2 linked regions of the Canis lupus familiaris genome follow. The protein of the gene in region 1 purifies or fractionates together with the protein of each later gene. This does not show direct contact. Links are inferred from orthologs where the notes say so. Each region holds a gene or a part of one and is shown in the gene's direction. Other genes may lie near its edges.

What was found. Proteins that work in one complex are often made in the same cells at the same time.
Region 2: the proteins of FBXO7 (region 1) and PSMA6 purify together in Homo sapiens (affinity purification with mass spectrometry; 3 studies listed by BioGRID and IntAct, with this or other methods). This does not show direct contact. The link is inferred for Canis lupus familiaris from reciprocal best matches to the Homo sapiens genes FBXO7 and PSMA6.

Annotation. Positions count from the first base shown.
Region 1 is NC_049231.1:31,993,472-31,997,088, reverse strand, and holds part of FBXO7 (F-box only protein 7), read left to right. Parts: intron 1-549; coding exon 550-691; intron 692-3,073; coding exon 3,074-3,157; intron 3,158-3,617. UniProt on the Homo sapiens protein: Substrate recognition component of a SCF (SKP1-CUL1-F-box protein) E3 ubiquitin-protein ligase complex which mediates the ubiquitination and subsequent proteasomal degradation of target proteins and plays a role in several biological processes such as cell cycle, cell proliferation, or maintenance of chromosome stability.
Region 2 is NC_049229.1:14,184,314-14,188,495, forward strand, and holds the start of PSMA6 (proteasome subunit alpha type-6), read left to right. Parts: upstream 1-1,349; 5' UTR 1,350-1,453; coding exon 1,454-1,529; exon of another isoform or gene 1,530-1,864; intron 1,865-4,182. UniProt on the Homo sapiens protein: Component of the 20S core proteasome complex involved in the proteolytic degradation of most intracellular proteins. This complex plays numerous essential roles within the cell by associating with different regulatory particles.

The DNA of each region.
Region 1 (3,617 bases):
GAGCCTCTGCATATGCCCACACAGTAGTGATGCTGCTGGTCTGTGGGCCATGTTATGAGTAACAGAGCTGTAGAGCAGCAATTCAGTGATCATTGAACACCCGCAGCATGCAGTGCTCTGAGCTGGGAAATCAGGATATAAGGAGTCTGTAAGCGGGGGAGAGAAACAAATAAAAAGAAAAATATGATGTATTCTAACATAATAGAAGTGTGTAGCAATAGGAGTATGAACAGAATGTTAGGGTGTAGAAGAGAATGACAAACAGGATTTTTTTTTTTTTAAGGACTCACAAAATGATCTTTGAGCTGTAGGTCTTGAATAATGATAGGGCTTTGCTGGGCAGAGATGTGAGTCTTTAAAGAGAGAAATCAATCCCTGTCTCATTTTTCTATCAAAATTTTACTAACGATAGTAATGATTTGACAAACTTTATTTAAGGGGACTGTATGGAATGCTTATTTCCAGACAAGTTAGGGGCCTCTTGGATTTTTAGTCTTTATGAGAGTAATACTTTTCCTCATTATTTGTTTCTTTCATTTCATTCCCCAGGGGACTGAGGCTAAAGCTCTGTCCATGCCTGAGAACTGGAAGTCAGGTGGTGTGTATAAGCTGCAGTACACGCATCCTCTCTGCGAGGGCGGCTCTGCTGCTCTCACCTGTGTGCCTTTGGGAACGCTGATTGTCATAAATGGTAATTGGATGGCACGGCCACAGTTGTCAGTTTACAGAGCTGACCTACCTGTTCCTCTCCAGACATCTTCCGGCTGCTTCAGTGACTGGCTGTCGTGATCTAGTTGAGTTTTTCTTGTCTCTTAATCCCTAGGCCGCTGATAACACGAGTCTGAAAGGTCATAGGATACATGGGTTGATGTTCAGTCCGGCAGACTTCTCTCCCAGGGCAGCCATGCCCTTCAGCTATCTTACCCTTGTGATGCTTTTGCTTCAGGGGGTGTTGTAATCATTGGAGTGAGATGATCTATTACATATGGGCTCTGTCTGCCTGTGGATGACTTTATGTTTATTTTTTTGACCGAGGTCTGGAGCTGAGAGGTGGTAAGAGGTGATTGAGTGGGGATCACTTTTGATCCTGTCTCTGAACAGTGATGCTTACAAACACAGCTAAGCACTGCCTTAGTGTGTGTGCGCTTGTCCCCCACACCCGCGCCATCAGGAAGGTCACTCTGAGTAGTTGCTTTGTGTAGTTTTCTTTTATATTGGCAGTTTCACAGGGATTGCTTTGCATTCCATTTTTGTATTTCATTTTAGCTCGAAGCCATCAGAAGTCTCTATCTACCCATGATCTGTGGAACGAGCCCATAATCACACATTCTGGAGAGCTAGCGGAGTGACTGGAATCTTTCCTTTCTGCTCTGCCTTTTTTTTTTTTTTTTTTTTTTTCTGCTCTGCTTTGATTTTTAAGGTTTATCCCCTTAGCTGGATAAGATAGTATGGTGAGATTGGAATGACTGCATTTTCAATTTTCCAGGAGAGCTCACCTTTCATGGAGCAAAGGCAGTTGCTTCCATACACCTTAGCCCCTAGTCTCAGCAGCTACTGGTTCTGCTGAGGTGGAGGAGGCGGCTTAGGAGACCCCGTATTGCCACTTGAACCTGGAGCAGCACCATATTTGTCTGTTACATTTATTGAGGTCTCTTGTAAAATTTTGTTTGAAAAATGTTTGTTCTGCAAAAATTTATTTTGAAAACCATCATCCTACACTGTCTTGATCTTTGAAATGAAAGATAGTTCCAGGTTCCTCGTGATGTGATTTCTGCTACTTCCCTTTAATCACTAACTAGATTCTTTGAAATGTTCCTTTCAAGTCTCAGATTTGAACAGCTTTAACAGCTTTGGTGGTATCCCCATTTGTCAGGATGTGACTTTCCAGTGGCAGGAGGACTAGTTCTGTCTCCTCAGTGTTCATTACAGTGAGCAAGTGAAACTTCCCACTGGGAGTTCTTAACACGGAACATCAGTAGTTTCTGCTTCCCCGTCGTTCTGCTCCATCCCATCATAACTGCAAGGCTGAAGCTACCCAGCAGTACATAGGAGGTGCTCATGCTCATTTTTGCTTCTGTTTCTTAGAAAAGCACTTTAACATCGTGGATAATAGCCTCTCTTCACTGGTGTCAGAATCTGTAACATAAAGAGAATGGCTGCTAGATCTCTCCATGGCTTCTTAGTTTCTGTTATCTTGTTCTTTTACTGTTCTTGGCACATCAGCTACTTGTAGACTTGTGTGGCAGCCAGCCACTCCAGGCTTGATTCTTTGAAAAGGAGCAGTGTGTCCATAAGTCTTTCCTTCACCCAAGACCTCCTGTTCAGGGCACATGTGCATAAGCACATCACTGGCCTTTCATGGAATGAGATGAAGTGCGCCTTTGTATATATGATTAATGTTTGAACCCTCTGGTGATGTCAAGAAGATTGGTCCTTTGGGTCTAGAAAGATGATGTGAAAACCTAGCAGGATTCTTTTAATAAACAAGGAAAGATTCATTGCCAGGGGTTAAATAAAAAAATAAGTGGAGTTTTTAGTGACTTTGTTAGAAGTAATGGATTTATTATGGTTTCACTGCCTCTTACTAACCTTGCTGTATATCTTTAAGTTACTAATAAGGTGCTATTGGTAATACCTATTGGGTTTTATATAAAGGGTGCATACTTTAGTTTTTTTTTTTTTTAAATCTTAAAGATTTTATTCATGAGAGACAGAGAGAGAGAGAGAGGCAGAGACACAGGCAGAGGGAGAAGCAGGCTCCACGCAGGGAGCCCGATGTGAGACTTGATCCTGGGACTCCAGGATCACGCCCTTGGCTGAACACAGGCACTCAACTGCTGAGCCACCCAGGCTTCCCCATACTTTAGTTTTTAAAGGTGTTTTAGAGTGATTTTACTTGATGTGATGGCAGCTTTACACTTTGCTGTGAGGGAAAGGAAATAAACATAGAGCACTTTGTTTTCTGTAACGTGTCCTTTGTATGTTGGGACAGGGAAATGCAAACCCATGCTAAAACATGAAGGCCATTAATGAACTGAAAAGAATTGTGTGTCTCTCTTTTCCTTATTTACAGCTACTCTAAAGATCAACACTGAGCTCAGAAGTGTGAAAAGATTGCAGCTGCTGCCAGAATCATTTATTTGCAGAGCAGAACCAGGTAAGAAAAGCATGATTGAACTTTGGGGATGAAGCTTTGAGATGCTCACTTTAGAACACCTGAAAGGAAATGTCTGAGAGATTGAAACTTTCTGAATGAGATTAAAGCAAATTTAAGACATGTTGCAGAGTATCTCTTTCCTGCTTTTCTTAGAGTCTTGGAGTGCTGGGTTATATTTATATTGCCATTATGGAATGACAGAAGTATGTAATTCATCCCACACTATGCTGATATTCTAATTTCTGAATTAATCTTTGGATTTTTCCAGCATCATATTTAACCAATATGGAGAGGATCTGTGTTTTGTGGAAGCTGTACAATGCACCATCATTAGTGAAGATTATTGGAGGAAAAACTACTCAGAATGTTGGCTTAAACCAGCATAGATTTGGTTGCTGTTTGATCAGATTGGAACTTTACGAGAAGTTGCCATTCTAGGCACGGTTTTGCTTGTATCCTA
Region 2 (4,182 bases), on another chromosome or scaffold:
ACCTAGGTTTGGGACACACCAGCATAGGGGGGGCTGTTGAGGCAGTCCATCCTCCTTAGCAGCCTTACAGAGAACTCTTTATTATTATTCAGGCAACGTCTGGAAATTACAATATACCAGGGTAAGTCAGAGTGTGAGAGGGGAAAAAAGCACTGAAAATGTCAGGAGGAGGTGGTCCTGAGGGTAGGGATCTGAATCAGAAGCAAGGGACAACTTTTATCAGTACGCTTGGAAATTAGCTAGAGCTGGAAGGTACCCGGTGTGCCAGAGATGCTGTTTGCATTTAGCATTTTCTTTAAGTTCTGGATTTTTTTTTCAGGTTGATAAAATAGAAGTTTATTTTTAAAAAAACATTCTTGAAAATTGGAGCTTCCTTAAACTCAAGAGGTTCTTACACATTTTCCCCCCTCTATATGCAAAATGAGTTTAGGAAAAAGTATGTTGAAAAGGTAAGAATCCCTACTTCGATATTACTTACAGCAGGCACTGAAGTGCCAGAAACATTGGCATAACTGGCCCTCCTAGTGCACAAACTCTAAGGGGGGAAGGGGGGAATGACACCGGCCTACAGTCATGTTTTGCATTTTTTATTGGTTAAATAGAAGTGTGCCTTGGGGAAAAGTCAAAATAGGCAATTTTACAATTTGAAAAGCCACCTGCTGTGCTCCCGGGGCTACCCAGTTCGCTTGGAATTACTCCCATCAATTCATTCAACAACAGCCTCCTATACGCCCCGTCCCTTCTGTTCATTATCGATCAAGGCAACTTAACCTCCTATTCCTCCATTACACCCATATTTCCTGTTCCATTTCTAAGACAAACTGTTGGGGCTGCTGGCCAAAAGGGTCTTGCCTGGCCAGACAACCCTGCTCTTTGCAGTGCCTACCAGAACCCGCTCCCTTCCGTACCTAAAATGAGCGGTTACTGCCGCAGTCGCTGCAACTCCTTTTCCCCTGTGGTAGGAAGGAAAAGTGGGTGAGTACAGAGCAGATTAGGAACGACGCCAGCAATCTAGACCCAAGCTGGATTTACACGTCCCAAAACTAACGACAGACTTAAATACGCCATCCATTTAAGTCCCACCGGTAGGCCGATCACTAGTCTGGGCGCCCAGAAAGGGTCTTAGTCCTCGCCTCGGGCAATTCACTCGCCAGATGAAAGCTCTAAACTGCCTCAACGCCAGTTCCACGGGGCTTCTGCACAGCGCTCAGCCCAGGGGCCGGCGCAAGCGCACACCGAAGGCCTCCCGGCCCTCCCCACCCCCAACGAGGGGCGGGGCCTCGGAGAGCTCTCCGCGCCCGCCTGACGCTGGAGCCCGGAGTTCGGCGCGCAGGAGCGGATGCAGCTCGCCGGTGCCCCGGAAGCAGTCGTTGAAACTTCCGGGGGGATTTGTACGCCTGGTGTGGGAGCTACGGGGCTCAGAGACAGTGCTTGAAGTAGTGGGTTCGCCAACATGTCCCGTGGTTCCAGCGCTGGGTTTGACCGTCACATTACCATTTTTTCACCCGAGGGCCGGCTCTACCAAGTAGGTGAGTGAACCGAGTCCGCCTTTGGTCCACAGGAATTGCTCTGTCATGGTATGGCCTGGAGCAGGGAGACGCGGCCGGAGTGTAGTCCGCGAACGAGGCATGGCCGGAGCTGGGACGGGAGAAAGGCCGAGGCAGGGTCCAGCCTCACGGTGTTCCCACCCCTCTCGGGAGGCGGGGACTGGCGGCCCGTTGGCAGAAGGCCTCGGGCTCTTCGGGGCTAGCGGCCGCAACGCCTAGACACAATAAAGAGTAAAGGTAGGTAGGACTGCAATTCCTGACTGTGGCTTCCAGATGCCTCTTCGCTTGTTACATTTTGGCCTGGGTGGGCCCAACGTCTGTACTTCTCTAGAGGATAATTGGCTCCTTAACCTTGCCATTGAAACGCTTCTCTCCGTTTTCCTTTGTTTGCAGCATGCACTTCCTTATCGTAGTTAATTCCACACTTTTATGTGCCAGACACTGCTGGTCCTGCGGCGTGCAAAGATGTCACACACTCTCCTGTACTGTAGCACACAGCTTACAGGGAGTGATAGATATGTAAACGGATGAAAAGAAAAGATGTCAAATTACAAGTATCTACGTCTTTGGAAAATTGACAGTGAATGAGTGGTTGTCAATTCTAGAGGTGTTGTTGAAACTAGCATGCCCTTTTAACCCACATCTGACCGTTTCTAAATAGTTCAAAAGCTGGTTCTGACTTGTAGGTGAGGTACGGTGAACTAGCTGTTTCCTGAAAGAACAGCTTTAGTGGAAATAAGCCCAAAATTAGTTATTCACTCAGTGTAACAATGTATTTTGTTGGATCGAAGTGGTGTCAGGGCTTAGGTTATAATTACAACCCGGATCCTTAACCTCCTGCCATAGGAGATCTGGAGAATGTGATTTACATCTGGTCCTGTGATCCTTTGATTTGGGGGGAGGAAAGTAATATCTGTACTTAGAAATCATAAGGAGAGAATTGGCCTATAAATGAGATTCTCTTCACCTGTGTATTTTAGAAATCGGATTAAAAAATAACTGGGAATGAAATTTACCCAGTATATGGCTGCATACTGTATATAATGTAGCAAGAAACCAAGGTAATTCAGTAACCCTTTTAACTTATCCCCCCGATTGAAAAATAAGATCAAAGAAGAGAGATAACTGTATCCTTAAGAAGGTTTCATCTATAGTTTCTTTCCCGAGTTTTAAAGAATTTTTCTATGTTGGACCACTGCTTTAAATGTTCTGTCATTCTTAATATGTGAACAGGAAAAGTCAGAACTACACTTTGCTTTCCCATACTATGTTTTGAAATCCAGCCATAAAACATAGTCTTTAATGCTTCCCAGATTTGGTGAGTAGAAAGGCTAGATATTGTGTCAGTTAAATAATTTTTTAAAATTTGGAATAAAACATGTAGTCAAAAACAAGCTTAATATATAGACAGGATGACTTGAAGTTCTGCCTTGTTGAATAACATATTGTCTCTACTATTCAGGGTGCTAATAAGACATTGCTAGGAGAAGGAAAGTGAAAGAATAGTATGATCAAGCAGTATAGTGGTGAAGAGTTCAGGCCCTGGAGCCATACCTGGATTCAGATCCCTGGGTGCTCCATACTAGCCAAGGTGGGCAAGTGATACACAATGTTAGCTTTAGTTTCTTTTTTGCAAAGTTGAGTTAATAATTGCTTCTTGTGTGGTTGTTTTGAGGATTAAATAAAATGATATATGTAGGCTGCTTAGCATAATATTAAGTGTTCAATAAGTGTTATTAGATACCTATTTGATTCTTTTGCTTTTTTTTTTTTTTTTGTCTATTAGATTAGTAGCTCTGTAGACATGGAGTATTTTCTTTATTATGGTCCATCCATGCTTGGTTCTCTAGTGATTTATACATCATGATAACATTGTAAATGCTATTTATGAGTTTATAAACTTCAGAATCCACCAGAGACAAAGCATACAAGAATTAAGAGTGCAGGGCAGCTCCGGTCGCGCAGCGGTTTAGCGCCGCCTGCAGCCCAGGTCGTGATCCTGGAGACCCTGGATCGAGTCCCATGTCAGGCTCTCTGCATAGTGCCTGCTTCTCTCTCTGCCTGTGTCTGCATCTCTCTCTCTCTCTCTCTCTCTCTCTCTCTCTCTCTCTCTCTCTCTGTCTCTATGAATAAATAAATAAAGTCTTTAAAAAAATTATGAGTGCAAATTGTTAACCTTGATAATGGAAAAATAATATAGCAAAAATGGAGAGATAACAGGAAAGAAAGATTAATGGAAAGGTGAGTGTATGCTCCTCATCTTCCATAGTTGGTACTCAAAAGATAAATGTAATCTAAAGTTGATAAATCATAAGATAGAGGTCTAAATTTAAAGTTACAATGCTAACCTTAATTATAAGCAAACTGTTGACAGTGCTTGCTCCCAGGGAATAAGAGAAAGAATTTTGATTGTCATTTGTGCATTTGTACTCTTTAGTAACTATGGACAGATTTATTTTAATGAATGTATTCAAGGGGTGGGTGTGTGGGTGTGTGTGTGTGTAGAAAAACTGTAGAGCTATACACGGAGCATCTAGCTTTGAAATCTAATTTCAGAAATTACCCAAGTTATCAGTGGGGAAACTAAGGCCCAGGTGGGACAAAATAAACCTGATTACTTTCGGGCTCTTCTCTT